7 linked regions of the Macaca mulatta genome follow. The protein of the gene in region 3 purifies or fractionates together with the protein of the main gene of each other region. This does not show direct contact. Links are inferred from orthologs where the notes say so. Each region holds a gene or a part of one and is shown on either strand. Other genes may lie near its edges. The genes, in order: BRINP1, DNMT1, SIRT1, RECQL4, ZEB1, FOXO3 and HIC1.

Region 1 (3,500 bases), on a different chromosome or scaffold from region 3:
AACAGGGTAGGGTTATGCTCCATGTATTTAAGTTTCTAGTGTGTTGTGTTTTGTTATTTAATAGTAAACCACTTTCTTGGCCCGAATTTCCCTGAGGAATTTTCATTCACTGCCCTCAAGTGACACTACCAAGCCCTCCATGCATGTTAGAAAACAGGAGATGCTTTCTAACCACCTTCTGTAACAGGAGCATGAATCAAAGAGTTGCCAAGGAACCAGAATATAAAAGTCACATTAGGCTCTTCTTAGCTTTACCTGCCAATCTCAACCCAACTTCCTCCCACTGACATTCAGAATCACCTTTATCATATACCTTTCTAAAAGGTCACATTTTTAGTCTGCTCAAAGTTAAAGTATGTCATTTTTTTTTCAGATTATAAAGTTAATATGTGATCATTGTAGAGAAGTTAGAAAAGAAACTAGATGCCTAAAATACATCATCAGCAACCTAGAGATCCAGAGATAAGCTATTCTAATACCTGGGCATATTTCCTTGCTTTATTATTATTATTATTATTATGAGGTGGAGTCTTGTTCTGCTGCCCAGGCTGGAGTGCAGTGGCACGATCTTGGCTCACTGCAAGCTCCACCTCCCAGATTCATGCCATTCTCCTGTCTCAGTCTCCCAAGTAGCTGGGACTACAGGCGCCCGCCACCATGCCCGGCTAATTTTTTGTATTTTTAGTAGAGACGGGGTTTCACCGTGTTAGCCAGGATGGTCTCAATCTCCTGACCTCGTGATCTGCCCACCTGGGCCTCCCAAAGTGCTGGGATTACAGGTGTGAGCCACCGCGCCCAGCCATTATTATTATTATTATTATTATTATTATTATTATTGAGACAGAGTCTTGCTCTGTCACCTAGGCTGGACTGGCAACGGCGGGATCTCGGTTCACTGCAGTCTCTGCCTCCCAGGTTCAAACGACTTTCCTGCCTCAGCCTCCTGAGTAGTTGGGACTACAGGCGCACACCACCACACCCAGCTAATTTTTGTATTTTGTAATTTTGCATTACTAAATATTTAATAAATTTTGTAGAGACTGGGGTTCACCATATTGGCCAGGCTGGTCTTAAACTCCTGACCTCGTGATCCACCCACCTCGGCCTCCCAAAGTGCTGGGATTACAGGCGTAAGCCATTGCACCCAGCCTATTTTTATTTACCTCTTTAAATTATTAAGATCATGCCATCCATTCCATCAGAAACCTTTTATTTATTAACATTATATCAAGTTATTTTTACATATTATTGGAAATTCTTTATAAACATCAGTACCAGTTTAATATTATGTTGTATTAATGCAATATAATTCACTTAGACTTCTCATGTGAAAAATTGAAATCCTTACTTTTTTTGATATAATACATTATGCTTTTTAAAAACAGTGCTATGTGTACTTAAAGCCTTGTCCAACTCTTCCCAGCAATCTCCTCTCCTTTTTATGATGTGAATTAATAAGGATGAAATTACTATTTTAAAGGATATATTTTCTTTAAAATAATGTATATGGAGCCCCAAACATAAACTTGACATATGCAGACACCAAAGAAATACAGATATTTATAAATACAAACAAGTTAATTAAAGCTCACATTTCCTTACTTTCTATCTGAAAACTAATTAATAATCATGAATTTAATGTCCTGCATATGATAAAATTCTAAATATATATGTACACACCTATCATAACTGTCTAATTTCCATATCTGCAGTTTTCATTAGATTTTCCATGCTTCCTCTTCTTTGTTCTCCCTTCACACCATCCCTCCTGATCCCCTCTCCCACATACCACATCCATGCTGCTTCCCCCAACACTGAACCCACTTTTTCCACTGGCTTCCTACCTTGAAGGTGCAGTTTGCTCTCCGTGCTTTGCAGAAGGACGGAACTCACAGAGTCCAGATTGTCATAGCTGTTACAGCCCAGAGGCCCAGTGCGTGTCTCTGTGACCTGCAGTAGACATCAAATGAGACAGGTGTGAGACAGGAGTCCTTGTCTAGGACATGCCCCGAAGAGTCATGCCCCAGCAGAGCAGAGTCAGCAGAAAAGGCCTCCTGGTTTGAGTCCATAGTCACTTTCTGAGCTCCGTGCTTGTGTCTGGGACCAACCACGGCTGTCACTGAGTAGACAGGCTAGCAGGGTGGTCAAGCATACAGAGTGCATGCCTATTCCTACCACTGGTTCTCACTTCACACGGTGGCTGCAAGTATGACATGAACTTAAAAGTTGACGCACTATATTTCAAAAGCATTGACTTTGGAATCAGAAAAATTAGTGTTAAATCCTGGCTAGGCCATTTACTTACCCTGGGACCTAGGGGAACCAATTAACCTCTCTAAGTATCTGCAAACCAAAGCTAGTAAATCTCTTCCAGAGAGGTTGTGAGACCAGGTACGATGGGTCTAAATGCCTGGCACATGGCATGTGTTCCATAATGGGTACCTTATTACCAAACGGCTCCGTAAGTTGTAATGAGTACATATATATTATTATTAGGCAAGAATAAGAAAATGATGCCCATTTTCCTAAAGAAGATTTAGCAGAAGCATTGTGCTGCCACAGGAGAAAATGACCCAATCCTGTGGATGTGCATTTCCAAAACACTGTCTTAGAAAGACTTGAGGTGGTGGATAAGAGAGCAACAGCTATTCAAAAAGATAACCTTGAAATAAGAATGGCTTAGTATGAAAAGAAGCCTCTTCATTTATTTAGTCTTTGCTTCCCATTATTTAGGGTTGTTTTGAAGTTTGCATCCAGCTATAAAAACACAGCATCCGTTGTAGGGAATAATGACTTGGGAGGCAGCCACACGCACCTTCTCTGCCCTTTTCCAGCTGTGAAACCTTGGATCAGTAACTTTCTCTTTCTAAGCCTCAACTTCCCCTTCTATAAAATGTTAGTAATGCTATTAGTCATCAAAATAGGGTAAAGAGATTATATTTTTGAAGTGTTTCAAACTTAGGGTACAGTAATATTTAGTAAATGGGGAATAATTAGGTTTTGTATTTTTTGTTTTGTTTTACAAATAATTTATTTTTATATACAAAATAATAACATATTTATTATTGAGAGAGAGTTAAACTTACCATTTTATTTTCCTAAAGATACCTATGGTGGGGAGAACAGTGAATGGGCAAAACTTCTCCATCTAGGTTAGTGGCTGGTCTTAAATAGACCCAGGCCAGCTGTGGTAGCTCACGACTGTAATCCCAGCTCTTTAGGAAGCCAAGGTGGGCGGATCACAAGGTCAAGAGATCGAGACCATCCTGGCCACATGATGAAACCCAGTCTCTACTAAAAATACAAAAATTAGCTGGGCGTGGTGGCGCGCACCTGTAGTCCCAGCTACTCGGGAGGCTGAGGCAGGAGAATTGCTTGAATCTGGGAGGTGGAGGTTGCCATGAGCCAACATCACACCATTGCACTCCAGCCTGGGTGACAGAGTAAGTCTCCATCTCCAAAAGACAATAACAAACCAAAAAAAAAAAAAAAAAAACAGA
Region 2 (3,500 bases), on a different chromosome or scaffold from region 3:
TGTCTCAGCCTCCCAAACTGCCGGGATTAGAGGCATGAGGCACTGCACCTGGCCAAACAGGCACATTTTTAAGTCTTCTTGTTTGTTGTTGTTGTTGTTGAGATGGGTCTTGCTCTGTCACCCAGTCTGGAGTGCAGTGGCATGGCTGTAGCTCACTACATTCTCAACCTCCTGGGCTCAAGTGATCCTCCCACCTTAGCCTCCCAAGTAGCTGGGACCACAGGTATATGCCACCATGCCCAGCTACTTAAAAAAAAAAAACATATTGTAGATGGGATTTTGCCATGTTGCCTAGGCTGGTCTTAAATGCCTGAACTTAAGCAGTCCTCCCTCCTTAGCATCCTGAATTGCTGGGACTGCAGGAATTTGTCACCACGCCTGGCGAATTTTTAATTTTTTGTAGAGATGGGGGTCTTAATATGTTGCCCAGGCTGGTCTTGAACTCTTGGACTCAAGTGATCCATCTACATATGCTTCAGCCTCCCAATATACTGGTTCAGGCATGAGCCACCATGCCTAGCCTAAAAGTCTTAATTCACTGTTTGTTTGATTGTCACTAAGGGCTTGTGATTCACCTTTTTTTTTTTTTGAGACGGAATCTTGCCCAGTCGCCCAGGCTGGAGTGCAGTGGCGTGACCTCAGCTCACTGCAAGCTCTGCCTCCTGGGTTCATGCCATTCTCCGGCCTCAGCCTCCCTAGTAGCTGGGACTACAGGCGCCCACCACCACGCCCAGCTAATTTTTTTTTGTATTTTTAGTAGAGACGGGGTTTCACCATGTTAGCCAGGATGGCCTCAATCTCCTGACCTCATGATCTGCCTACCTTGGCCTCCCAAAGTGCTGGGATTACAGGCATGAGCCACCGTGCCGGGCCACGATTCACCTTTTTTGTTTATTTTTAAAATTTTTTGAGACCTAAAAGTATTAATTCATCATTTGTCTCATTGTTACTAAGGGCTGTATGATTTCCCCTTTTTTTTTTTCTTTGAGATGGAGTTTCGGCCGGGCGCGGTAGCTCAAACCTGTAATCCCAGCACTTTGGGAGGCCGAGACAGGCGGATCACGAGGTCAGGAGATCGAGACCAACCTGGCTAACACAGTGAAACCCTGTCTCTACTAAAAAAATATGAAAAACTAGCCGGGCGAGGTGGCAGGCACCTGTAGTCCCAGCTACTCGGGAGGCTGAGGCAGGAGAATGGCGTAGACCCGGGAGGTGGAGCTTGCAGTGAGCTGAGATCCGGCCACGGCACTCCAGCCTGGGCGACAGAGCGAGACTCCGTCTCAAAAAGAAAAAAAAAAAAAGAGAGAGATGGAGTTTCACTCTTGTCCAGATTGGAATGCAGTGGTGTGATCTTGGCTCGCTGCAATCTCCACCTCCCAGGTTCAAGCAATTCTCCTGCCTCAGCCTCCCAAGTAGCTGCGATTACAGGCACACCCTACCACACCTGGCTAATCTTTGTATTTTTAGTAGAGACGGGGTTTCACCACGTTGGCCAGGCTGGTCTGGAATTCCTGACCTTAAGTGATCTGCCTGCCTTGGCCTTCTGAAATGCTGGGATTACAGGCATGAGCCACTGTGCCCGGCTCTGATTTGCGTTTTTAATACCATTTTTTAGGTGTGTCAGCAGCCTGAGTGTGGGAAATGTAAAGCCTGCAAGGACATGGTTAAATTTGGTGGCAGTGGACGGAGCAAGCAGGCTTGCCAAGAGCGGAGGTAGGTCGGGCCGAGTCCTCCTCCTGTGGCAAAGGACTTGCCAGCTGGTGGCGGATGCACTGTGGAGAAGGGCCCGCGTGTGTGGGAAAGCACCAGGATTCCTTCGTTAGGCATTGTCTCAGGGCCTGTCCCTGTTAGGACGAAAACAGCCTTGGTTGGTCTTACTTAGAAAAGGGGCCTTAGGTATAACCAGTGACATTGCAGGTGTCCCAATATGGCCATGAAGGAGGCAGATGACGATGAGGAAGTCGATGATAACATCCCAGAGATGCCGTCACCCAAAAAAATGCACCAGGGGAAGAAAAAGAAACAGAACAAGAATCGCATCTCTTGGGTTGGAGAAGCCGTCAAGGTAACCCTTGGAGCCCCTCGTTCGGCTCACTGCCATGTTCCCGATAAGCAGGTTCCCCTAGTATCTTGCCAACCTGACCTCTTGGTCAACCTGAGCCCCAGCACCAAGAAACCTGCCTGTTTGCCCCTGAGAGGAGCAGGACTGGCCGAGAGACCATGTTCTGTGGCTCAGTACCAGCAAGGCATTTTTGTATGGCCACAAGGCTCAGTTCTCCTAATGTCCCAAAATGGGCATTTGACACAGTTCTAGGGGCGTCAGGCAGGTGAGCCCTCATAGCTTGTTTTTGTGTTTTGTTTTGTTTGGGACAGAGTCTTGCTCTATCACCCAGGCTGGAGTGTGGTGACATGATCTCAGCTCGCTGCAACCTCTGCCTCCCAGGTTCAAGCAATTCTCCTACCCCAGCCTCCTGAGTAGCTGAGATTACAGGCATGCACCACCATGCCAGGCTAACTTTTTTTGTGTTTTTAGTAGAGACGGGGTTTCATCATGTTGCCCAGACCATTCTCAAACTCCTAGCCTCAAGTGATCCACCTACCTCAGCCTCCCAAAGTGCCGGGATTACAGGCGGGAGCCACCACGCCTGGCCCCTCATAGCTTGTTTTCAAGAGAGCCGTCACAGCCCCCTCTGGCGTGGGGTGGGTCTTTTGGGGGCACCAACAGATGGCCTCCCAGTTGTTCTGTGGTCATCGGCTTCACTGAGGGTCAGTTCCTTTACCACAGTGTGAGAGAAAGGAGTGAGTATCCTCTGTGTTGCTTCTCTGATGTCCATAAATTAAAGATGCAATCAGTTCACTTAAGCATGAGGCTTGCCGCCTGCTGGCTGCCTGGGCCGTGGCTGAGCCCCTGCAGGAGGACAGACATGGGTACTGTTGCATGGCATGAGTACCTCTGCAGGGTAGGGGGCTGGGAGGAGGCTGGGGCCACGAGGCCTTGCAGAGGTGACACGTGGGCTGAGATGGAGAAGGTCAGGTAGGACCTAGCCACACCAAGACCTGGGGGAGAGCTGCACTGAGGTGGCAGTCAGCTTACCTTGGTGGAGAAAGGGAAGGAGGCCCCTGCAGTTGGATTGGCTTGAGCCAGGGGGTGACAGGCAGGACAGGGGCCAGGGTTCAGGCTGTGGCCTTACAGACGATGGTGAGGTGTTGGGAGCTATGCTGTTAAAATCAAATCCTGGGACCCGAGTGGCAGAGCGGAAGTGGGAGGGACGCGAGTTCCCTTGGTTACAGCATCTGGCCGAGGAGGGTGGATGTTCTCTTCTTTTTTATTATTGAAGCCCTTGTAGAACAGGATGTTCTCTTTAGCAGCAACTCTTCATTGACTTCTTGATGAAATGGAGTCATGTCTTACATTAAGTAACAGAGAACCATGCAGGTCAAGGCCAGCAAAGACCCTCAAAATGATCCTCCCTGAACATCTGCTCTCATTTTCAGACTGA
Region 3 (4,212 bases):
TAATGCTCTCCCTCCCCTTGTCCCCCACGCTCCCAAAGATGGGTTTAAGGCTTCTAGGACTAGAGATGATCACTTTCAGAAATGAATAGTGGTGACCAGATGAAATAAGACTTTTGGATGCAGATGGGACCTTAGTGATATATTTCCAACATTCTATTTTTAATTTTTTTAATTTTAAGGATGAAGAAACAGCTTTAAGTTGATTGCCTAAAGTCACGCAAGTAATTGATGCAGTATGGCCAGAACCCACGCTCGGCTTAAGGGACAGTGTACCATAAACTCATAGAGGTCCTTTAAACAGATAGAAAGGCTGTGCTCCAGGGAGATGCCATAACAAACACCGGCTCTAGATCTACCATGGGTTATATGGGTCCTCAGTTAAGGTTAGATATGGAGTCACAGTGTCCCAGAATTTCAGGGAGAGAGGAAAGTGGAAGGGCTTTCCACTAAGCCTTTTAAACTACTAGGTACCCCTGATTTTACATCTGGTTATCTCATTTAAATCTATGACCTTTTAAAGTACTTCATTATTACAATTTAAGACATGAGAAAAATTAACTTTAGAAAAGGTTAGATAGCTCATGCTAGAAAGGAAGGACTCCAAATTTTAACCAAGAGCAGATGTCCATGGAGGCCAAGCCATTTTCTTCCCGAGCTCTCCTCATACCGACCCAACAAACCCATTCTGCACGTGAGAAAACTGAGGCCCAGAGGAGGGAATTCACACACGTTTGAAGCCAATCTGGGGCCAGAAAGTAGATCGGCTGAACTCCAAACCTCCAAGTCAAAGGTCTTCCCAGGATGTGACAATCTATACCACCCTACAAGTGATGGAGAGAGGAGAAAAAGCAACTAAGGAGAGAAGCTAGGAGCAGAAAAAGGAGCTAAAGAGGAGCTGTCAGAACGGTGTGAGGAGGGTGGGAAGGGAGCCTTCTCCTTTTGCCTCTATTCCTACCCATTAACAAAACAGAACGACTATCCAGCGTATTTCAGGGAGCTAAGTCCTTAGCCAGCTTCAGCTGTGTTTCAACCCTTAGCTAAAGCTAGACAACGCTAAGGCAGGCCAGGTGTACACTTCAGGTAGAAGTGGAAATTCCCAGGGCGGACCAAAACTTGAGCTGTTCAGGCGGTAGTGATTTGAGGTCGGTTTCAAAGAGAAGTTCAAAAAGCGGCCGAGGGGCGAATTTGGTTGCACTACACGCCCGCCACAAAGGCGCAGGGCCGCGGCCGCCGGGGCCGAGCGTGCTTCCAGCCCAGGCGGAGGGGTAGATGCAACAGCCTCCGCCCGTCACGTGACCCGTAGTGTTGTGGTCTGGCCCGCGTGGGTGGCGGGAGCGCCGAGGGGGCGGGGGCGGCGATGGGGCGGGTCACGTGACGGGGTTTAAATCTCCCGCAGCCGGAGCCGCGGGGGCGCCAGTGCCGCGCGTCGAGCGGGAGCAGAGGAGGCGAGGGAGGAGGGCCAGAGAGGCAGTTGGAAGATGGCGGACGAGGCGGCCCTCGCCCTTCAGCCCGGCGGCTCCCCCTCGGCGGCGGGGGCCGAGAGGGAGGCCGGGTCGCCCCCCGCCGGGGAGCCGCTCCGCAAGAGGCCGCGGAGAGATGGTCCTGGCCTCGAGCGGAGCCCGGGCGAGCCCGGTGGGGCAGCCCCAGAGCGTGAGGTGCCGGCGGCCGGGGGCTGCCCGGTTGCGGCGGCGGCGCTGTGGCGGGAGGCAGAGGCGGCGGCGGCGGGCGGGGAGCAAGAGGCCCAGGCGACTGCGGCGGCTGGGGAAGGAGACAATGGGCCGGGCCTGCAGGGCCCATCTCGGGAGCCACCGCTGGCCGACAGCTTCTACGACGAAGACGACGACGACGAGGGCGAGGAGGAGGAAGAGGCGGCGGCGGCGGCGATTGGGTACCGAGGTGCGCAGGGTGCGGGCGGCCGGAACTGCGCATCTCCTCCTCCCTTTCCCCGGGCTCCTACTGGTGTGAGGTTGAGGGCGGCCGGCGACTCGGGGCAGGCTCTGCGGCGTTCCCCTCCCCACCACGGCCCTTCGCTCAGCTGCGCTCCTCCGGGGCTGCCGTTCCTGCTGCGCGAGCTGCTGGTGGATTTGCTCTTTTCCTCCGTCCGTGACCCGCCTGGGCGGCCTTGCGCTTTGCGCAGCAGCCAGGTCGGGAGACTCTCGCAGTCACTTTAAAATAAGTTTCTCTCACCCTCTTACTCTTTTAGCATATTGGTTTTGTTAGAGCTTTTTTTTTTTCCTTTCCTTTTTCTTCTTTATTTTTCATTTGCTTTTCTTCACCCACCAACACACTTAAGTCTGCAACTTTTTGGCTGTCCCGTTGGTCGGCGTTTTCAATTGCTTTTTGTAAGCTGACACCTGTGCAGTTTGCTGTTTTTTTTTTGAAGGTCTATATTTTTATGCCTGAAGTTACAATTTTTAAAAGAGGAAAGCTGTTTCTGTAGTCACAGCCTGCAAAATTTAAAGAACATGGCTGTTTCTGAAGATATTAAAATTCTGTAATGCAGTTAGAAGTAGGCATGGGAGAGTGATAGTACTTTTAGAGCAGTTCATATTTTATTCTAATTTTGCTCTTGTACGGTAACGGTGTTTGGGCCAAGCGTACCTTTTTGTACGTAGTAATGATACACACGTTTAACACTTCTAGCATAATGAAGCAGATATGTTGCAATTGTCATGTTCTTCAAGGTTTTTTGTTTTTTGTTTTGTTTTGAGACAGAGTCTCTCTCTGTCGCTAGGCTGAAGTGCAGTGGCGCGATCTCGGCTCACCGCAACCTCCGCCTGTCCCGTTCAAGCTATTCTCCTGCTTCAGCCTCCCGAGTAGCTGGGACTACAGGCACCCGCCACCACGCCCAGCTAATTTTTGTATTTTTAGCAGAGACAGGATTTCACCATGTTGGCCAGGATAGTCTCGATTTCTTGACTTCGTGATTCGCCCGCATCGGCCTCCCAAAGTGCTGGGATTACCGGCGTGAGCCACCGTGCCCCGTCAGGTTTCATATTTTTGTTTCTCTCAAGGAGGAGTTTCTCTCCTTGATATGTGTTCGTCTTTATCAATACTTGGGTCAGGCCGGGCGCGGTGGCTCTTTCGTGTAACCCCAGCACTTTGGGAGGCCAAAGCGGGAGGATTTCTTGAGCCTAGGAGTTTTAGACTAGCCTGGGCAACATAGCGAGACCTCCTCTCTACTAAAAATTGAAAAACCCGGACGTGGTGTCGCACAGCTGCTGTAGTCCCAGCTACTGAGGTGGGAGGATTGCCCCCGAGTTTGAGGTTGCAGTGAGCTGTGATCGCGCCACTGCACTCCAGGATGGGCGACAGAGTGAGACCTCGTCTCAAAAAAAAAGTAGTATATGCTTTTAGGGACTGGTTTAGTAAAGAGACCCTGATTTCAAGCAACACCGTTGAATATTAATTTATTATTTATCTAATAATAATAGTGTTATTGATACTGTTTAATAGAAGAAACAATGCAGAGATACCTGTTTAGTATTATGTGAGAGTTTAACGTGCGCATTGCCAAGGTTATATTTGAATGACATTTTTGTGTAAATGCCCATTTATTACACGTTTCACTAACGCTGTTGTTTGTGATTGATACATTCTAGCTAGATTATTTTCTTTCTTTTTTTTTTTTAAAGACGGGGTTTCGCTAAGCTGTAGTACAATGGCGCGATCTCAGCTCACCTCTCAGCCCACTGCAACCTCCGCCTCCCGGGTTCAAGCCATTCTAGTGCCGCAGCCTCCTCAGTAGTTGGAATTACAGGCATGAGCCACCATGCCTGGCTACTTTTTGTATTATTGGTAGAGATGGGGGTTTCTCCATATTGGTCAGGCTGGTCTTGAACTCCCGACCTCAGGTGATCCACCTGCCCTGGCCTCCCAGAGCTCTGCAATTACAGGCATGAGTCACCGCGCCCGGCTATCTTTTTCTGTTTTTTTTTTTTTTTTTTTTTTTTTTTTTGAGACGGAGTCTCACTCTGTCGCCCAGGCTGGAGTGCAGTGGCCGAATCTCAGCTCACTCCAAGCTCCGCCTCCCAGGTTTACGCCATTCTCCTGCCTCAGCCTCCCGAGTAGCTGGGACTACAGGCGCCCGCCACCTCGCCCGGCTAGTTTTTTGTAGTTTTTAGTAGAGACGGGGTTTCACCGTGTTAGCCAGGATGGTCTCGATCTCCTGACCTCGTGATCCGCCCGTCTCGGCCTCCCAAAGTGCTGGGA
Region 4 (4,236 bases), on a different chromosome or scaffold from region 3:
CTTGCAGGGCCCCCCATGGGTACTTCAGGCCTCCCAAATTACAAAGCTGCTTCACAAAACCTTCTTCGAAACCTGAATAAAGTCCAGGCCTCTCCCCACCAACCTTCATCAGCATTAACGTTGACGGGACACTCCAAGGAGTCAAGCAGCCAAATCACGTTTCCCTCCCCTCTCCTCACAGAGGCTCTCCAGGGCTACCCTGGGACTCCACAAAACAACAAAGAGCTGGAAGCACAGATGCAGCTTCATAAGCAACAGGGCAGGTTGAAAAGACCGAGACCTAGGGAATACTGAGTCCAGATGATGTAGCCTATGAAATCCAAGCCTTCAATATAAGCCCCCCCCAAAAAAACTATTCTCCAGAGTGTCACCAAGCACGAAGACCCCTGAAAGAAAGCAACCTTCACCTTTGGTGGCTCTTACCAGTGGCCTAAAACCTCTCCCTCTTCCCTGGAGAGCCACTGTGGAAAGAACAAGTCTTAAGTATGTGGGATTCGGAAGGTGCAAGGCTACAGATTGCTCAGACAAGGCAAAGAAAGCTGCCTAAGCAGCACTCAAGCTGCAGAGATGCGCGCGAACACTCCCAAGGCCACAAGGTACCTGTGACACAGGGTGCCAGCCCTGCTGCTGACTGCAGCATCCTCAAAACTAAATCGCAGCCATCTCCCTGTGACAGATTAGAAAATGAAGGCCTAGGCCTGGCCCAAGGTCACAGCCTGAGTGACAAGTCAGGGAAGGGGTCTAGGGAGGACACTCTGGCCCCAGGGCCCTTGTTTTTGCACATACAAATAAGTCCTTAAAGAACCGCTTCCTGAAAAGTCCCAGACACCAACCCTCGGTCTCATTCTGAGATCTCAACGGTCATACCTCGCTCTGACAGGACAGACCAACCGAGCACCTGTCACGGGAGTACACGAAAGCAGACGGCCTGGCCACCAAGGGAGGCAGGCACCTCCGTGCGAGGCCCCCGCCCCTCCCGCCGGCCACGGGGAACGCGTCGGCCCTCGGCTGCCTGCGTTTCGAAAAGACGCCCCCGCCCGGCTCCTCTGGGCCTCCAGTCGCGGGAGGCGCTGGTCCCTCCGCTCTTTCTTGTCCCGGGCGGGGCCTGCTCCTCCAAGCCAGGTGCGTCTCCCACCAGGGCCTGACGCCGCTCCGACCGGCCGGGGGACTCCCAGTCCTTCCCGGCCCGCTATGGCACCGCCCGGGCTCCCGGCTTCGGCCCCGGGCTCCCAAATGCAGCTACTGCCTCCCTCAGCCGGGCCGCCCCGAGCGACCGCTGCCACGCCCCTTGCGGCCAGGCAGGGCCAGGGACGTACGCCGCCCCACTCCGACCCCCGCCTGGCCGCCCGCGCTCACCGGTCCCGCAGCCGCAGCCACCGCCTCCGGCCCCGCCTAGACCGTCCGCCGCGCCCCGCACGGCGCCGCGGCGCCCCGCGATGACGTCGGCGCCCCCCATTGGTTGCTTGTCCAGGGCCCGGCGGATTGGCTGCCTAGTCGCGGTGGCCCCGCCCCCGGCCCGCCGCGCGCCCGCATTGGCTGTTGGCCCCATCGTCTGCGGCGCGGGAGATTCGCTGGGCGGCCGCTGGACTGCTCGGAGACCTGGCGGGCCCGCCATGGAGCGGCTGCGGGATGTGCGCGAGCGGCTGCAAGCGTGGGAACGCGCGTTCCGGCGGGAGCGCGGGCGGCGGCCGAGCCAGGTACGGGATGCCCTGGGGCCGAGGGGCTGAGGGCGCGGCCCGCGGCTGACGCGTTCCCTTTACAGGATGACGTGGAGGCGGCGCCGCAGGAGACCCGCGGTGAGCGCGCGGCGGGGTGGCGGGGTCCCGGGTCGACGGAGGCGGGAGGACGCCAGGTCGGCGGGGGCCCAGGCTCCACCCTGACCCCGCCTCCCGCCCGCCCACGCAGCGCTCTACCGGGAGTATCGTACTCTCAAGCGGACCGTGGGCCAGGCCGGCGGCGGGCCCCGCAGCTCCGAGTTGCTCCCCGTGGCCGTCGAAGAGGTATCCAGGCCCCGCCACCCCAGCCTCCTCCCACTTTCCTGTTTGGCGGAGTGGCAGGAGCCACGGAGTCGCGGCCAGGCCTCCGTGGGGCACAGAACTTGGGAGGGGGACTGAGCAAAGTGAAGACGGGCCGGGCCTCGCTCCAGGTGTGAGGGGGTGGGTGGGAGCGCCTCTGCTTCCACACCAGCCTTTTTCTGGCCTGCGCCCCTACTGTCTCCTGCAGGCACCAGAGTCCCACTGCTGGGGGCCCCACCTGAATCGGGCTGCAACCCACAGTCCACAACATACGCCAGGGCGGAGCTGCCAGGGGTCGGTGCCGGACTACGGGCAGCGGCTCAAGGCCAACCTGAAAGGCACCCTGCAGGTGAGGAGTTAGCAAGCAGTGAGTCCACACTAGGTCCAGAGGTGCTTCTGGCCCGGGGTTCTTTCTTGTCACTCTTTCCACACAGACAGGCACAGGCTCCTGTGCCAACCAGGGCACGAGTCTCCACGGAGTTTCTCGGGGCCTTCGCCCTTGACTCCCTTTCTAGGCCAGCCTTGTGCTAATTAACCTGTCTTACCATTGAAGGTGGGAACTCAGGCAGGTTTCAGAGTCTACAGAAGCCCAGGGGCCTGAGTTTCTGCTGCCATTCTGTTCCCTTCCCAGGCCGGACCAGCCCTAGGCCGCAGACCCTGGCCTCTAGGAAGATCCTCATCCAAGACGCCCACCCCAAATCCCCCAGGCACAAGGCCTGTCCCCACCTTTGCAGAAAAAGTCAGTGATGAGCCTCCACAGCCCCCTGGGCCCCAGCCAAGGCCGGGCCAGCTGCAGCACCTGCAGGCATGCCTGAGCCAGCAGCTGGCCTCCCTAGATCTTGACTGGTTACAGCGATGTCACAGTGAGATCCCAGACTTTCTGGGGGCCCCCAAAGCCTGCAGGCCTGGCCTAGGCTCAGAGGAATCACAGCTTCTGATCCCGGGTGAGTCAGCTGTCCTTGGTCCTGGTGCTGGCTCCCCAGACCCAGAGGCTTCAGCCCTCCAAGAAGTCAGCATCCGTGCAGGGAGCCCCCAGCCCAGCAGCAGTCGAGGCAAGAAGCAGAGACGGAACAAGGAGCTCTGGGGGAGCCCCGCACAGGTCCAGCAGCAGAGCAGCCAGGCTGGACCCCCATCGGAGGGGGCTGGGGCTGTCGCACTTGAGGAAGACCCTCCAGGGGAACCTGTACAGGCACAGCCACCTCAGCCCTGCAGCAGTTTGTCGACCCCCAGGTACCACAGATTCAGCACCTCCAGTCAAGCTAGGGCGGGTAAGGCTGAGGGCACAGCCCATCTGCACATCTCTAGGCTGGCCCGCCATGACAGGGGCAATTACGTACGGCTCAACATGAAACAGAAACGCTACGTGCAGGGCCGGGCACTCCGTGGCAGGCTCCTCCGCAAGCAGGTGAGACGGCGATGGACTGGGACAGGCCCTCCCTTTCCCTCCCCTCAGCACCCCTGCATGTCCCACCCAGTGACCCTCCTATGTGGGCACCCTTCAGGCATGGAAGCAGAAGTGGCGGAAGAAAGGGGAGTGTTTTGGGGGTGGTGGTGCCACAGTCACGATCAAGGAGTCTTGTTTCCTGAATGAACAGTTTGATCACTGGGCACCCCAGTGTCCTCAGCCAGGTGAGACATCTGCCCTGGAGGGTGGGTCTGGCCACCACTGTGGAGAGGGCACGGTACTCTTTTGGGCGACACTTCTGTTCCAAGCAAAAGACCTTCCAGGTGCCCCTGGTCCAGGCCCTACCCTGGCTCCCCCAAAGCAGGGTGGCAAGGATGAGGATGGGTGTCAACCTTTTATGCTTTAGAAGAAGTAGCACAGAAGAAGGGCACTGCCTGCTGCCAACCCCTTTGGGGAAAGAGAAGGTTGTGGCCAATGGTTGTTTTGCTTGGAGCTCCCATTCCACCTTCTCTTGCCTGCCCCAGTAAGTGAGGAAGACACAGACCCTGCTGGCCCTGAGCCGCTGGTTCCTGCACCACAACCTGTGCCTGGGGTGCCCGGCCTGGCCTCCACCATGCTGCCACTCTACTCCTTGGGGCCCTCAGGGCAGCTGGCAGGTAAGCAGTCAGCTGCTGGCCCAGAGCCTTTACCGAGGGGTTGGTGTGACTTAAGTCATGGTGGTCAACACCTGTGTCTGCAGAGACGCCGGCTGAGGTGTTCCAGGCCCTGGAGCAGCTGGGACACCAAGCCTTCCGTCCTGGGCAGGAGCGTGCAGTC
Region 5 (4,087 bases), about 49 Mb from region 3:
ACATTGTTAATTTATAACTATATTATTTGGCATACAGCTCATTTATTCCATAAAGTTGGTCCCAAAGACGTTTCCTTATTCGAAGGAGGTGGGAAGCAGGAAGGAAACCTAAATCTAAATTCTACTGAACACTGAAGACAACTTTCTTGATATTTGTGGTTATCTGCGTGGTCTTTTCAGAAATCCCCAAACTTGTACCAAGTCAAGGATAAAATAAGATAAAATCAGCAATCTGTCAGGTTCAGAGATCACATCTGTCAGCCGATGCTTCTTGCCTTAAGGTCCTGCACAGCGATGACCGCTCATTTAGGAAGGAATTCATGGCCTGTGGATACAGGCTTAGCTCTGAGTCCTGCCGCCTAGGATCCCAGGGATCTACGCGAGGAGGAGGGCGGGGAGGGCGGACCGGGTGGGGGAGGCCGAGGTGACAGCAGGTGAGGGCCGGGTGCCGATGGGGAAGTGAGACAAGCACCGTGTGGGTATTACTCATTCCGCTCTACTAACGAGGCTGCTGGCAAGCGGAACTTCTAGCCTCTCTTTCAGTCCAGCTGAAGTTCAATCTCATTGAAGTCACTTCCCATCCTGGTTCGCTTGGGGGGAAACCGGGCGTCCCTGGAAGGGAAGGGAAGGGAGTCCGGGCTGCGCGGGTCAGGTAGCCTCTCTCCGGGCGCCGCATGTCCTCGCCGTCCCCGAAACTGCCCTTCCCCTCTTCAAGGGAACTCCCCGGGGAGTCCAGACCGCGATCCCTTTCCTTGGCCCCGGGGTGCGCGGGGCTGACACGCGAGGCGTGGGACTGATGGTAGCCCTGCCTCCAGGAAGCAGGCAGGCGGGGACCTCTGGGCGCTCGGAGGGGCAGCTCCGAGGGCACAGGGTCCAGAGAGAATCAGCCAGATCTCTCCCTGCCCAGGGCAGCCGCGGCGGGTGTGGCCAGCGCGGAGGCAGGACGCCGCCGAGCCTCCAACTTTACCTTTCCAACTCCGACAGCCCGTCGCCTTTCTGACCACGTCCCCACGGTTTCCCAACACCCGCCTCCCTCACCCCACCACACCTGAGGAAAACTTTTCCCTCGCCCCTCAATTCAAATTCACCAGTGCCCACGGTTGCCGCAAACCGCCCAGTCCCTAGCAACAAGGTTCCGGCCGTAGAGCGAGCGCCTCTAGGTGTAAGGAAGGTGATGTCGTAAAGCCGGGAGTGTCGTAAACCAGGTGCGGTGGGGAGGGGGGAGGGGTGGAGGCGGAGGGGTGGGGGGGAAGGGGGAGGGAGGGGGAGGAGGTGACTCGAGCATTTAGACACAAGCGAGAGGATCATGGCGGATGGCCCCAGGTGTAAGCGCAGAAAGCAGGCGAACCCGCGGCGCAATAACGGTGAGTGGCGGAGGGGACCGGGGAGCAGCGGAGTCAGGGGGAGCCGGGCAGCCGGGGCGCCCCCGGGGGTGAGAGGGGCGAGCCGGGCTGGGGGCGGCCGGGGCAGGGACGGCAAAGTGGAGTGGGAAAGTAGAAAGTAGTGCTCTCTGCCCCCCTCCGCTGCCGTCGCTGCCGGAGCCGCGCCGCGGCCGCTCGCTCTCCCTGAACCGTTATGTCTCTTACCTGGTCTCTCTCCGCCTAGCGGCTCCAGCCGCCCCTGCCGCCTCCCTGGACCGTTAGCCGCCGCCGGCGCCGCCGCATCCCCGGCGCAGGGCGGGCGGCCGGGACGCGCTGGCCACTTTTCTGGTCCCGGGTGGAGCGGCTGTTGCTTCTTTCGGCACTTTTCCCCACTCTTGTACCCTTCGGCGCCTCCCTCTGCACTTCCTCCCGGCCCCCTCGGCGGGATTCTCCCTCAGCGCCCAAGCACCCGGGAGCCGCAGAACAAACTTGTGCCCGGCGCTGACCGTGCAAAGTGGCTTCCGCGCGCCGCGGCCCCGGCTGGCGCCGTCGTTCGGGCCCCGCGACTCGGGCCGGGCTGTGGGCGCGCGGCGGGCGGGCGGCGGCGGGACGGGACGACCGCGGGTTGCGTGGGGTCCGTGCGCGCGTGTGCGCGGGCGCCGGCGGTGCGCGCCGCGGGCGGACAGGGCTTGGCCGGCGGCGGTAAAGTTGGGACCCGCGGGCCGGGCGCGCTCGCGGAACGGGGATTAGAGGCGGGGGCGCGGGTGCCTAAGCGCCCCTCCTTTCCGGCGCCTCCCGCCGCCGGGCCCAGAGCCCCGGCCTGGGGACTCCGCTACGAGCCCCGCGATTGGGGTCCACGTTTGGCGGGGCGCGGCGGGGAGGCGCGGGGACAGGGCAGGAAAGGCACCTACTTAACGCCACCGGGAGCCGCGCGGATGGAGGCGAGCTGGGCGGCGGGTGTGTTTGCGGAGTTGTTACCTGGGCTTAGAGACCGGGAAGCACCACAGACAGATCCCCCTCCCGGGGCAGACGCGGTCTCTGCGCCGGGATGGGCCGGTGTGCGTGCGCCTCTCGCTTTTCTCTTTCGCTTTTTGGGGAAGTTGTTACCTGGGCCGGACGCACGGAGCGCTGAAGCCGGATAATGGGGCTTGGATGGCGCTCTGGGTCTCGGGTGGAAGGAGGGTGGGGGGAGGGGGCGGACGGACCGACGGACGCGCGGGGCTGCTACTCGCGCCGCAGCTGCAGTGTTTATTGATTTGTGCTGCTGTGCCAGGGGAAACACACACCCCTCTGCCTGGCGTGAGAGTTAAAAAAAAGAGAGAGAGAGAGAGACACACAGCCCGAGGGATCGAGACCTGAACATGTGGTGGTGGTTGCACAGTCGCCTTTTCCAGTTTGGAGAGTTGTAAGTTGATTGTATTTCTGGTTATCTCGGGGCGATGCTGTGCTTTCTCTCCCTCTCGTGCAGCAGGGAAATGTCTGCTGATTGTTATTGTCTGGACAGTTCCTGTGGCGAGAGGGGCGAGACTTGTCCGCCCGGGGGCGGCGGGAGCGCGGGGAGAGCAGCCCCCGCCAGCGCCGCCCGGGTACCTGTTTGTATAATAATGGGCGGCAACGGCCCTGCCGCCGGCCGCAGCCCAGGCTATATAAGGAATTACACGTACATTTCGGACCGAGGGGCTCGCTTTGGTTCCTGCGTTATTTTTAAAACGACTTTTAAGAGAGGGGCAATAAATGCGTCTATAAGGGGACCGCTGCAGCGTCGAGAAAACGAGGAAATACGTATTTAGGAGAAAACTCTCTCTTGCTCCCCCGCCCCACCCCCCGCGCCTGGGCTCCCTTTCTCCCTCCCCTCTGGGATGCGAAACGCGAGGTTTTGTAACCTTTCCTGGCAATTTTAGATTTTGTGTGGGATTTCCTGTCTAGAAGCAGATACGAAGATTTTTAAGCTGTTTCAAGATGTTTCCTTTCAATCCATAAATATGTTTTTAATATATTCGAGTCGACATTAAAATCACTGCTTTCATGAGTGATTTTAATTATTCAAATAAACACTTGCATTTTAAAGACGTATATTGATTATAATCGAAAGGTATTTTGGTATCCTCATTGTGGAGAGATGACTTGTTATAGCAAGGAGTGGAGCATAGGCTATTGCAATTTTAATTTCCTGTTTTAGCGTCAAATAGTGTGTGTTCTATATTGAGCTGTTGCCGCTGTTGCTGATGTGGCTTTATGAAAGGTAAGTTGGTTCGGAAAGAGCTGTTCGCTTTTTACCTTATTTAAAATGTTGATCGCCAGAGAAAGGGGCTTTTCTTGTTGCTGACGACATGTGTGTGACATGTGAGTCTGAACCACCCAGCGTCTGTGCAGCTGCTGTAAACATGTTTACCTGAACAGGAAAGAATGGATTTTTCTCCTTAAGATCCTGTGATATGAATATTACACTTGTAAGGCATATCAACAGATGACTTAAGGGGGGAAAAGCGATCCTGAAAGGTACTTGAAATCAAGAAGAAAAAGAGGTTCTTGATCGCTGCAGCAAATGGCAACTTGTGCAGGTAGAAAAAAGATGGTGTTTAGTTTTCTCCTGCATGTATGTCAGCCCCCTCCTGTCTGCTGCTTTCATTCTCAAGGGAGGGATTTATTTACCATGCTTGATGTCAGTGTTTTTCCTTTGTGTTTAATATTAGAAAAACAGATTTGCGTCTGTTTAGCACAAAACG
Region 6 (4,248 bases), on a different chromosome or scaffold from region 3:
GCTGTCTTCTCGCGTCCCCCCTTGAGCCCTCCCACCGCCAGCGGGCGAAGGATTGGTTTCTAGTGCGCCCTTTCCCTTTTTCCCTCTCCTCTCTCTCCTTCCTTAGAATTTTACTCGATTGTTTATTATTTGCTGGGGGGCGGGGGCGGGGGGCGGAGAGGGGCGTCTGGGGCCTGGAGACTGGTAGCCGCGGCCAGTAAGCACGCGGCGTGCCTTGACGAGTAAGCCGCGCAGCGAATGGCGACGCGGCGGAGAGCTCCGGGGTCACGCGCGTGTGGAGACGATGACATCATCTGTTTGTACGCGTCGAACTAGCTTGGTGCAGGGGCGGGGCCGCGCGTCACTTGAGTGACGGGAGCTGCGCAAAGCCCGGAGCCCGGAGGCGGCGGGGCGGGCTGGCTCCTGTGTACGCTGGGCTGGACCTTTTTGTATATGGGGTCGTTGAGGAGCCCGCTTCTAGACTCTGAGCTATCTCTGGTGACTTACAAGGATTTTTTAAAAAAAGATATTTATGAACTAGTGTCTAGACTTTTGGTGTGCATGTCGCGTGTAGTGCATTCGTAGAGTACAAATAAACGATTTGGGGCACGGATCGTAGAAAAAGGACTTGTGCAGATGTTTTTTGTTTAACCTAAAGGATACGTATTTTTTTTTAAAGTCAAAAATGCACACGTAGCGGTTTTGTCGTCATTTACAAATTAGATTAAAATTATTTCTCCTTCTCAATTGTTCGGAATCTGCTCTTGAATGTAGGACAGGGGTAAATTTGCATTTCTTCGGAGTTAGTTACACCTCTCCCCCGTTTGCCATGAAACACATGAAAAGTGAAACACGACTGTGGTCCACCGTCCGAGGCGAGAGATTCAGTGCAAACCTTTTGGTGCCTGATCGAATCTGTGAGCATCAGCTTATCGAAGTTGTGCAGGCGCCAACATCTTCGCCATTCAGTATTTCCACGCCGCGGTAAACCTTGCCATCCACGCCCAGCATCTCACCTCGGGTGTTACCTAGTGTCGGGTTCTAACAGGGAACCGGACACCTGGGCTGGCCCAGAGCCCGGCGGGCGGACGCGCAGGTCGGGGACCCTGGTACCAGGCGCCCTGCCCGGAGTCGGGGAGGCCACGCCGCTGCGCTCCTTGGAGCGTCGGAGGCTGTCGCTCCTGCAGCTCCCGCTTCTCTTTCCTCTCCCTCCTCTCCCGGGCCAACGCCGCGCTTTGTTGTCGTTGGGGCTCTCGGGAGGGAGGAGGAGCCCAGCGGGGACAGCAGCGGGAGCCCGCCGAATCCCGGCTCACGGCGCGCTCCCGGACACCCACGCCCGCAGCCCCGCGGAGCTGGCCCGCGCAGGCGCGCGCGAGCTCACACACGCGCACTCACACACACACGCCCGCCGCGCGCCCAGCCCGCCGCCCAGCCCTCCCCCTGGGCGGGGACCCGCCCGCCCGCCCGCCGTCAGCTTAGGTTGAGGCGCCCTGCGTGTGTCTATAACTTTGTGCTGCTGCTGCGGCCGCCCTGCTCGTGGAAGGGAGGAGGAGGAATGTGGAAGGCGGCGGCGCGCGAGCTGACAGGCGGTTCCTCGGGCGGGCTGCGGCGACGGCCCGAGCGCTCCTCCTTCGCCGAGGTTGCGCGCCCCCTCCTCGCCGTGCCCCGGGCCCGCGCGGGATCGTGCGTCGTCCCGCCGCGTCCCTGAAGGGAAGGAAGCGAGGTAGGCGCCGGAGCCGTGCAGCGGGCGGCCGCCTTCCCGGTGACTCCGGATCTGCTTCCGAGCTGGGCCGGGCGCTTCCCTTTCCCCTCCCCGAGCCGCGGTGTGCGCGCCCCCCTTCTCGCCCGCTAGTGTTTTTAAAGGACTCAAGGGAAGGGGGAAACTGTCAAGATGGCAGCAGCGGGAGCAAGGAGGTGATGAACATGCTGGTCCGGGTTTTCTAGCAGCCCGGGAGACTTGGCGCTTCCCGACCTGTTGGAAGATTTATGTTCCGACTCGCTCCCTCCCCCGGATCCCGACTGGGAAGGGGGCGGAGGGGACGACGTCCGCGAGAATGCAAACCACACAAAATCCCGAAGTGGCCGTCCCTGCCGGGCTCGACCCTCTGCGAACGCCCGCCGGGCTGCTCCTTCCCCTTCTTTCCGTGTTTCCTTTATTTTTTGGAAGTGACAAGGGCCCATCTGCGCCCAGACCCCCGTTCGCCCTCCGCCCCGCGGACGAAGAGAGGAGAGGGAGCTGCCCGCGCAGTCCCCGGGCTCGGGCCATTCGACCGGGTTAGGGGTGACGGGGGGTCGCGGAGGCAGCTGGGCCGGGAAAGGGGAGAAGAGCCGAAGACAGCACAGACTTGAGCGGCGGCGCCGCGGAAGGCACTAGAGCGGGCCCGAGCGAAACATAAACAAACGCACGCACGCCCGAGCTCGGGCTCTGACCGCCGCTCGGCTGCGCCAGCTCCGGCCGCTGCCCGCTTTAAAGGCGCGGCCGCCCCTCCCCCGGGCGCCCCTCCCCCTTCTCCCCGCCCCGCCGCCTAGCCCGGGAGGGACCTGCGGCGGGCCGCGGGGGGAGGGGGCTGCCCCGCGCGAGGCCGTCGATTCGCTCGCGGCTCCCCCGCGGCCTGGCCAGGGGGCGGTGTCTGCTGCGCCAGGTTCGCTGGCCGCACGTCTCCAGGTCCGCCTGTTCCTGGGAGGCGGGCGCGGCAAGGCTGGGAGGTAGTGGCGGCGGGCGAGGACTCGCCGAGGACTGCGCTCCGGCCCGGGATAACCAACTCTCCTTCTCTCTCCTCTGGTGCTTCCCCAGGCGGCGGCGGCGGCGCCCGGGAGCCGGAGCCTTCGCGGCGCCCACGTCCCTCCCCCGCCGCACCCCGCCCCGGCGCGAGAGGAGAGCGCGAGAGCCCCAGCCGCGGGCGGGCGGCGAAGATGGCAGAGGCACCGGCCTCCCCGGCCCCGCTCTCTCCGCTGGAAGTGGAGCTGGACCCGGAGTTCGAGCCCCAGAGCCGTCCGCGCTCCTGTACGTGGCCCCTGCAAAGGCCGGAGCTCCAAGCGAGCCCTGCTAAGCCCTCGGGGGAGACGGCCGCCGACTCCATGATCCCCGAGGAGGACGACGATGAAGACGACGAGGACGGCGGGGGACGGGCCGGCTCGGCCATGGCGATCGGCGGCGGCGGGAGCGGCACGCTGGGCTCCGGGCTGCTCCTTGAGGACTCGGCCCGGGTGCTGGCACCCGGAGGGCAAGACCCCGGGTCTGGGCCAGCCACCGCGGCGGGCGCTCTGAGCGGGGGTACACAGGCGCTGCTGCAGCCTCAGCAGCCGCTGCCACCGCCGCAGCCGGGGGCGGCTGGGGGCTCCGGGCAGCCGAGGAAATGCTCGTCGCGGCGGAACGCCTGGGGAAACCTGTCCTACGCGGACCTGATCACCCGCGCCATCGAAAGCTCCCCGGACAAACGGCTCACTCTGTCCCAGATCTACGAGTGGATGGTGCGTTGCGTGCCCTACTTCAAGGATAAGGGCGACAGCAACAGCTCTGCCGGCTGGAAGGTGCGTACCCACCCCGGGCTGGCGGCAGGACCCGCCGGGCCTCCTGCGCAGCGCGAGACGCGCCCTCGGATTCGTCGGAGCGCGCCTGCGGGCTCCAGGGCAAGGGGTTGGCAGGGGGAGCCTTCACTGTGAGGCTTTGGGTGTTCTCTTTGACTCCTGTAGCAGGGGCACCTGGGGACGGCCCGGAGGGGGGAAGGAGGCTCCCAGAGGCCTAGGGCATGGCCAGGTGAGGAGAGGGGGCAGGGGACGCCGGCGAGGGAAGGGCGAACGGACTGGAGTACATTTGCTGGATTCTCAGGACAGCGCCGAGAAGGTAGGTCTGCAGCCAACTTTGGAGTAGAGTTTACCGTAGTGGGGGTCTGATGCGGGCGCTGTAGGTGGAGTGAGAGGTGTGTGTGGGGGGGTGTTTGGGACGCAGTGTCCAGAGGAGGGGTTGGATGTGTGGTTTCCAGTCTGTCGCAGGAGCATGTTGTGTCGTCACTAGCTGAATCTTCGGGTCCAAGTTTCAGCTTGTGGGTGTTAACTCCTACAGGCACATCAATCCCATTAGAAAAAGTAGTGGTTGCAAACCTCTTCCTGGACGGCTTCCTTTCCTTGCCTGTATTGATACCTTTCCTTCTCAGAGATGTCGCTCCAGTAAATCTGCTTCTTACTAGCTGCTTCTGAAATGTTCTGGGGCCTCGAACCGGCCGATCTGGCCACCTCAATCCAGACTGGCTGCACCATCTGCTCCCGCCG
Region 7 (4,009 bases), on a different chromosome or scaffold from region 3:
CTTGAGGTAGGCGCTGCTGGCCGCCAGCACGTTCTTGTGCGCGCGGAAGAGGGCGTTCTGCACCACGATGATCACGTCGCACAAGAAGCCCTTGGTGCGCTGGTTGTTGAGCTGCAGCAGCAGCTGCCTGGAGTGGCCGGGCGCCTCCATCGTGTCCAGCATCGTCTGCCCAGCACACTCTCCTGCGGGGACACACACCGGCCGGGTGAGAGCCGTGCGGCGCCCTGGCCGCCTGCCCCCTGCCCGGCACTTCTCCCCCTCCAGTTCCCCTTCCTCAGCTGAGCGGGGGCATCAGCCCTGCGGCCTGGGCACCGGCGAAGGACCGGCCGCCCTCTGGAGTGGGAGCCCAGGCCGGCCCGCCCGGACCAGGAGAAGGAGCGGGAGGTGAGCGACCGCCGGTGGAGGGGAGGCCAGGCCGGCCTGCATGCCCCAGGGCACCTGGCTGGGTGCTGGGGCTTCCGAGAAGACTGTTCAGGCGAAGTGACCCTTTGGGAGACAGTTACCCGATTTAAGTAAAATGTCCGCTTCAGGAAAAGTCATTCAGGGCGGAAAAGTTTGCCCAAGTAGGGAGAAAGGGAGCCGAGGAACCAGCGCCTCCCGCCTCGGGAGAAGTTGCCCCAGTTGGGGGAAGTGATTCGGAGGAGGGGAGCGCGGTGCCCGCCCTGGCGCCGCCCTGGCCGGGGGCTGTCAACCCTTGGTCGGGGCCCGGGCGGCGGCCGCGCGGGGAGCGGAGGCAGCGGCTGCCGTGGCGGGCAGAGCGCGAAGGCCGGGCCCGGCGCGGGGAGGGCGTTATATCGGGGCAGGAGGCTGAGGCAGGAAGCAGGTGGGGGGGAGGGGGGAGCCACGCAGCTCCCAGGGGAGGGAGGGGGCAGCGCCCCGGGCGGGCACGGCGCACAGCCGGCTGCGGCCCTGACCCGGGCCTGCGCCCCACCCGCGTCCCGGCCTCGGCCTGGGCCCTACACGCGCGGGCCCGGCGCCTCCCTCCGCGGCTCCCCCGGCCCCTTCTCCCCCGGAACTCCGCCGCCCCAAACTTGGGGAAAAGTTTTCCAACTGCAGACAGGGCGGGAGGAGTGCGCCGGCCCCAGGCCCTCGGCTCGCAGCTCTTCCTCGCGGCCCCCAAATCCGGCGGCAGAGCCCGGAGCGGAGCCCTGAGCTCCCCTGCCCGCTGCTCGCCCGCCCGACCCCGTTCCTCTCCTGGCCCGCGGGGCCCCGCGGCCCGTTACCTGCGGCCCCGGAGGGCCGGGCTCCCCTCCCCGCGGCGGTGGCAGCTCTTAGCCGATGCCCCACCCGCCGCTGCCAGGCCCCGAGCTGTGCCAGGGCAGCGCCCCTGCCAGCCCCGCCCGCCAGCTCCCCTTCCCTTCCCTTCCCCTCGCCTCTCCAGCCCATGTGCGGGCACAGCCGGCCCCGGGCCGCTGACCCCGCCGTGAACCCGGCGCGGAGCCGCGGCCCGGCGGTCCCGAGTCCGACAGGGACGACACCCGGAGCCCTGAACGCCAGCCGCCAGCCGCGATGGGGCACCCGCGCCAGAGGATGCGCCCGAGGCGGCCGACGCACGAGGACCGGGCTGTCTCGGGCCCCCGTCCCTCCCGGTCCCCGGCTCGAGGACCCACCTGGGGGGCATGTCGAAAGCCCCGGGCCCGGCTGCCGGCGGATCCAGGGGGGATGTGGCTGCGCTGCCCTCCGCCCGCCGGGCCCCCGGTCGGTCTGTCCTGCTGGTCCGTCCTCCCCGCGTCCTGGTCGCGTCTCAGCCCCGCCGCGCTTTCCGCACACTCTTATCTGGAGCGGCCCGGGCCGGCGGGCGCTGCTGCAGCTATAGCGCCACCTCGCGGGCGCGCGGGGCTCTGCGGGGCAGGCCGCTGCCTTCCTCCCGCGCACCTGAGCTGGAGGCGCACAGATGCTGAGCCGGCGGGGAGGGGCCCGGGCCCACCCCATCCGCAGGTTCGCCCTCCCACCTGTGCCCACCAGGGACCCCGACCCCGCACAAGCGAGCCCCGGAAACCCTGGGGCTTTGAGCTGAGCGCTCCCGTGTACGTATTTCTAGGCTCACAGCCCCAGTTCGGAAAAGTCCTGCCCGCAAACACCGGACTCGGGTGGTGGAGGAGAGGTTATCCTGGGCAGGAGTAGCCAGGCTCTCCTGGAACTCTCCGTAGACATTACTGTACACAGCACTGTCCACTTGGACGCACTCCCCAACACACCCACCCTCACTCAGGCGCATGGATTGGGTGTGCGCGGCATAAACCGGTTTGTCCCCAGCCCTCTCCAGGCACTGGTACTAGCAGGCGCGCACGTTTCCAGACGCACACCCGCCCCTTCCCGCGGCCCTGGCGCTCTGGGATACTCCAGGGGCAGCCACCTGGTGCCCTCCGGGAACCTGGGCAGAGGTGTTACCCACACAGCCCGCCCTCAACTTTCGGGTCTCCTAAAGGAACCCACGACGAGTCATCAGGGCGACTGGAAATGGCTGGACAGCGCCTCCGGGGGTCCGCAGAAGTAACCCCGGGGCCCTAGAATCCCCATGTACGCCGTTTTGAAGAATCCCACGTGAACTTTTTCTCCAACCCACCCGCCCGAAGGAAACAACAGGGGCGCCTGCGGCTGGGACCCCGCAAGGCCCCGCACCCCACGTGAAGGTCAGGTTTGTGTGGGTGACGTCTCTTCTGGGAGGAAGGGGACCCCGAATGGCGCGCCGCTGCCCGCACTACTATTCCGGAAGTGGCCCCGTGCGGCCCCGCCGCGCACCAAGCCTCCTGCGAACGCCGGATCTCCGCGGCCCACGCTCCGCCTCCGCCCCGCACCTCCTGACCCCCGCCCACACGCGGCGTGGAGGGGGGGGGGGTCCCCGAGAACTCCGCCGCTTCTGATTGGCTGCGCCTCCCTCCGCCGCGGAGCGCGAGGGGCTGGGGCGCAGCGTTACCATGGCAACCGATGAGGTGCGCCCGAATCCCGTCCCTCTGAGGCCTTGGAGAGCTTAGCAACCGTGCTCGCCGCCCCCCGCGCTGTCCTCTGGCCCTCATGGCCCCGCCAGAGGTACCGGCTGAGTCACCCGGCGAGGGGCAGCGGGCGCGGCTACCAGCGGCCCCCGAGCGACACCAAGGTCTCGGGCGCCCCCCGGAGGCTCCCTTTGCAGCGCAGGCGACTTCACCGCTTCGGTGCCTGGCGGAGGCTTCGGTCCAAACGAGTCCGCCCCATGTTCTGGATCCATCTTACCCACGCCCTCTCCCATGTCTCCTCATAGCATCCTCACTTTAGAAGCAGTGAGGTCCCAAAGAGGAAAACGGAGGCCTCCGGAGCTGCCGGTCTCTAGGGAAGTCGGACCCCGACATCTTGGCCGAGGGATGTGCGGCGGCCTGAGGTGGAAGTTACGGAAGTTACGGAGTGCTGAGGGGAGGTGGAGAGGCTCCTCAGAAGTGCTCCTAGAGCTGGGCTTTGACGGATGAATAGGAGTTCTCCCACCGCGCAGGAAGGCATTTGTGAATAATAGAACCCGTGGGACAAAGGCTAGCGGCAAGAAAACGGGAGCTCTAGGAGGCTAAATCCAGACTATGCAGGGCCTCTCTGACCCCATCTCTTTTATCTTTTCTCCTTTTGATAGAGTCAGATCCCCCCCACTTCCAAAGAGCCCCTCCGTCCCTTATATCTTTGTGCAGTGGAGTCTGTGCATTGCTAACCTGCCTCAGGGGTCTGCCGTACCCACAGTCTTTATTCTTCAGCTCCCCAAGTTATCTTACTATCCCTACCCCCCATTCTCAAGCCCTAATTGCATCTGTAAAGGAGGGTCTCACAGTCCTGCCCCAGCCCAGGCAGTGAGAGTACCTCCTTGCCCTCCCGTGGACTTAATTCTTCGACCCTTCTCTCCCTGCCCCGCTCTTCCGGCCATGCCATGCACAGCCCTCCCCATCCTGGTCCAGCTCCTCGTCTGAACACTCTCCTCCCATTTAGACCCTTCCTCCATCTCGATGGAGCCAGGCTGGGCCAGGACCATGCATTTCCCTGCTCCCAACCAGGG

The links.
Region 1: the proteins of SIRT1 (region 3) and BRINP1 purify together in Homo sapiens (affinity purification with western blotting; 6 studies listed by BioGRID and IntAct, with this or other methods). This does not show direct contact. The link is inferred for Macaca mulatta from reciprocal best matches to the Homo sapiens genes SIRT1 and BRINP1.
Region 2: the proteins of SIRT1 (region 3) and DNMT1 purify together in Homo sapiens (affinity purification with western blotting; 3 studies listed by BioGRID and IntAct, with this or other methods). This does not show direct contact. The link is inferred for Macaca mulatta from reciprocal best matches to the Homo sapiens genes SIRT1 and DNMT1.
Region 4: the proteins of SIRT1 (region 3) and RECQL4 purify together in Homo sapiens (affinity purification with mass spectrometry; 3 studies listed by BioGRID). This does not show direct contact. The link is inferred for Macaca mulatta from reciprocal best matches to the Homo sapiens genes SIRT1 and RECQL4.
Region 5: the proteins of SIRT1 (region 3) and ZEB1 purify together in Homo sapiens (affinity purification with western blotting; 4 studies listed by BioGRID, with this or other methods). This does not show direct contact. The link is inferred for Macaca mulatta from reciprocal best matches to the Homo sapiens genes SIRT1 and ZEB1.
Region 6: the proteins of SIRT1 (region 3) and FOXO3 purify together in Homo sapiens (affinity purification with western blotting; 4 studies listed by BioGRID and IntAct, with this or other methods). This does not show direct contact. The link is inferred for Macaca mulatta from reciprocal best matches to the Homo sapiens genes SIRT1 and FOXO3.
Region 7: the proteins of SIRT1 (region 3) and HIC1 purify together in Homo sapiens (affinity purification with western blotting; 4 studies listed by BioGRID and IntAct, with this or other methods). This does not show direct contact. The link is inferred for Macaca mulatta from reciprocal best matches to the Homo sapiens genes SIRT1 and HIC1.

Annotation. Positions count from the first base shown.
Region 1 is NC_133420.1:38,972,841-38,976,340, reverse strand, and holds part of BRINP1 (BMP/retinoic acid-inducible neural-specific protein 1 precursor), read right to left. Parts: intron 1,951-3,500; coding exon 1,845-1,950; intron 1-1,844. UniProt on the Homo sapiens protein: Plays a role in neurogenesis and brain development. May suppress cell cycle progression in postmitotic neurons by inhibiting G1/S transition.
Region 2 is NC_133424.1:10,861,736-10,865,235, reverse strand, and holds part of DNMT1 (DNA (cytosine-5)-methyltransferase 1), read left to right. Parts: intron 1-1,615; coding exon 1,616-1,713; intron 1,714-1,917; coding exon 1,918-2,065; intron 2,066-3,495; coding exon 3,496-3,500. UniProt on the Homo sapiens protein: Methylates CpG residues. Preferentially methylates hemimethylated DNA. Associates with DNA replication sites in S phase maintaining the methylation pattern in the newly synthesized strand, that is essential for epigenetic inheritance.
Region 3 is NC_133414.1:81,881,658-81,885,869, reverse strand, and holds the start of SIRT1 (NAD-dependent protein deacetylase sirtuin-1), read left to right. Parts: upstream 1-1,412; 5' UTR 1,413-1,478; coding exon 1,479-1,896; intron 1,897-4,212. UniProt on the Homo sapiens protein: NAD-dependent protein deacetylase that links transcriptional regulation directly to intracellular energetics and participates in the coordination of several separated cellular functions such as cell cycle, response to DNA damage, metabolism, apoptosis and autophagy.
Region 4 is NC_133413.1:154,940,644-154,944,879, reverse strand, and holds the start of RECQL4 (ATP-dependent DNA helicase Q4), read left to right. Parts: upstream 1-1,436; coding exon 1,437-1,697; intron 1,698-1,762; coding exon 1,763-1,796; intron 1,797-1,905; coding exon 1,906-2,000; intron 2,001-2,223; coding exon 2,224-2,364; coding exon of another isoform or gene 2,365-2,371; intron 2,372-2,646; coding exon 2,647-3,420; intron 3,421-3,517; coding exon 3,518-3,644; intron 3,645-3,944; coding exon 3,945-4,076; intron 4,077-4,159; coding exon 4,160-4,236. UniProt on the Homo sapiens protein: An ATP-dependent DNA helicase which unwinds dsDNA with a 3'-overhang in a 3'-5' direction. Does not unwind more than 18 bp of dsDNA. May modulate chromosome segregation. The N-terminal domain (residues 1-54) binds DNA Y-shaped DNA better than ss- or dsDNA.
Region 5 is NC_133414.1:32,703,297-32,707,383, forward strand, and holds the start of ZEB1 (zinc finger E-box-binding homeobox 1), read left to right. Parts: upstream 1-1,287; 5' UTR 1,288-1,306; coding exon 1,307-1,364; intron 1,365-3,267; exon of another isoform or gene 3,268-3,596; coding exon of another isoform or gene 3,597-3,603; intron 3,604-4,087. UniProt on the Homo sapiens protein: Acts as a transcriptional repressor. Inhibits interleukin-2 (IL-2) gene expression. Enhances or represses the promoter activity of the ATP1A1 gene depending on the quantity of cDNA and on the cell type.
Region 6 is NC_133409.1:13,664,448-13,668,695, forward strand, and holds the start of FOXO3 (forkhead box protein O3), read left to right. Parts: upstream 1-1,448; 5' UTR 1,449-1,702; intron 1,703-2,773; 5' UTR 2,774-2,892; coding exon 2,893-3,510; intron 3,511-4,248. UniProt on the Homo sapiens protein: Transcriptional activator that recognizes and binds to the DNA sequence 5'-[AG]TAAA[TC]A-3' and regulates different processes, such as apoptosis and autophagy.
Region 7 is NC_133421.1:3,604,560-3,608,568, reverse strand, and holds the start of HIC1 (hypermethylated in cancer 1 protein), read right to left. Parts: upstream 2,801-4,009; 5' UTR 1,933-2,800; coding exon 1,611-1,932; intron 779-1,610; exon of another isoform or gene 541-778; coding exon of another isoform or gene 504-540; intron 183-503; coding exon 1-182. UniProt on the Homo sapiens protein: Transcriptional repressor. Recognizes and binds to the consensus sequence '5-[CG]NG[CG]GGGCA[CA]CC-3'. May act as a tumor suppressor. Involved in development of head, face, limbs and ventral body wall.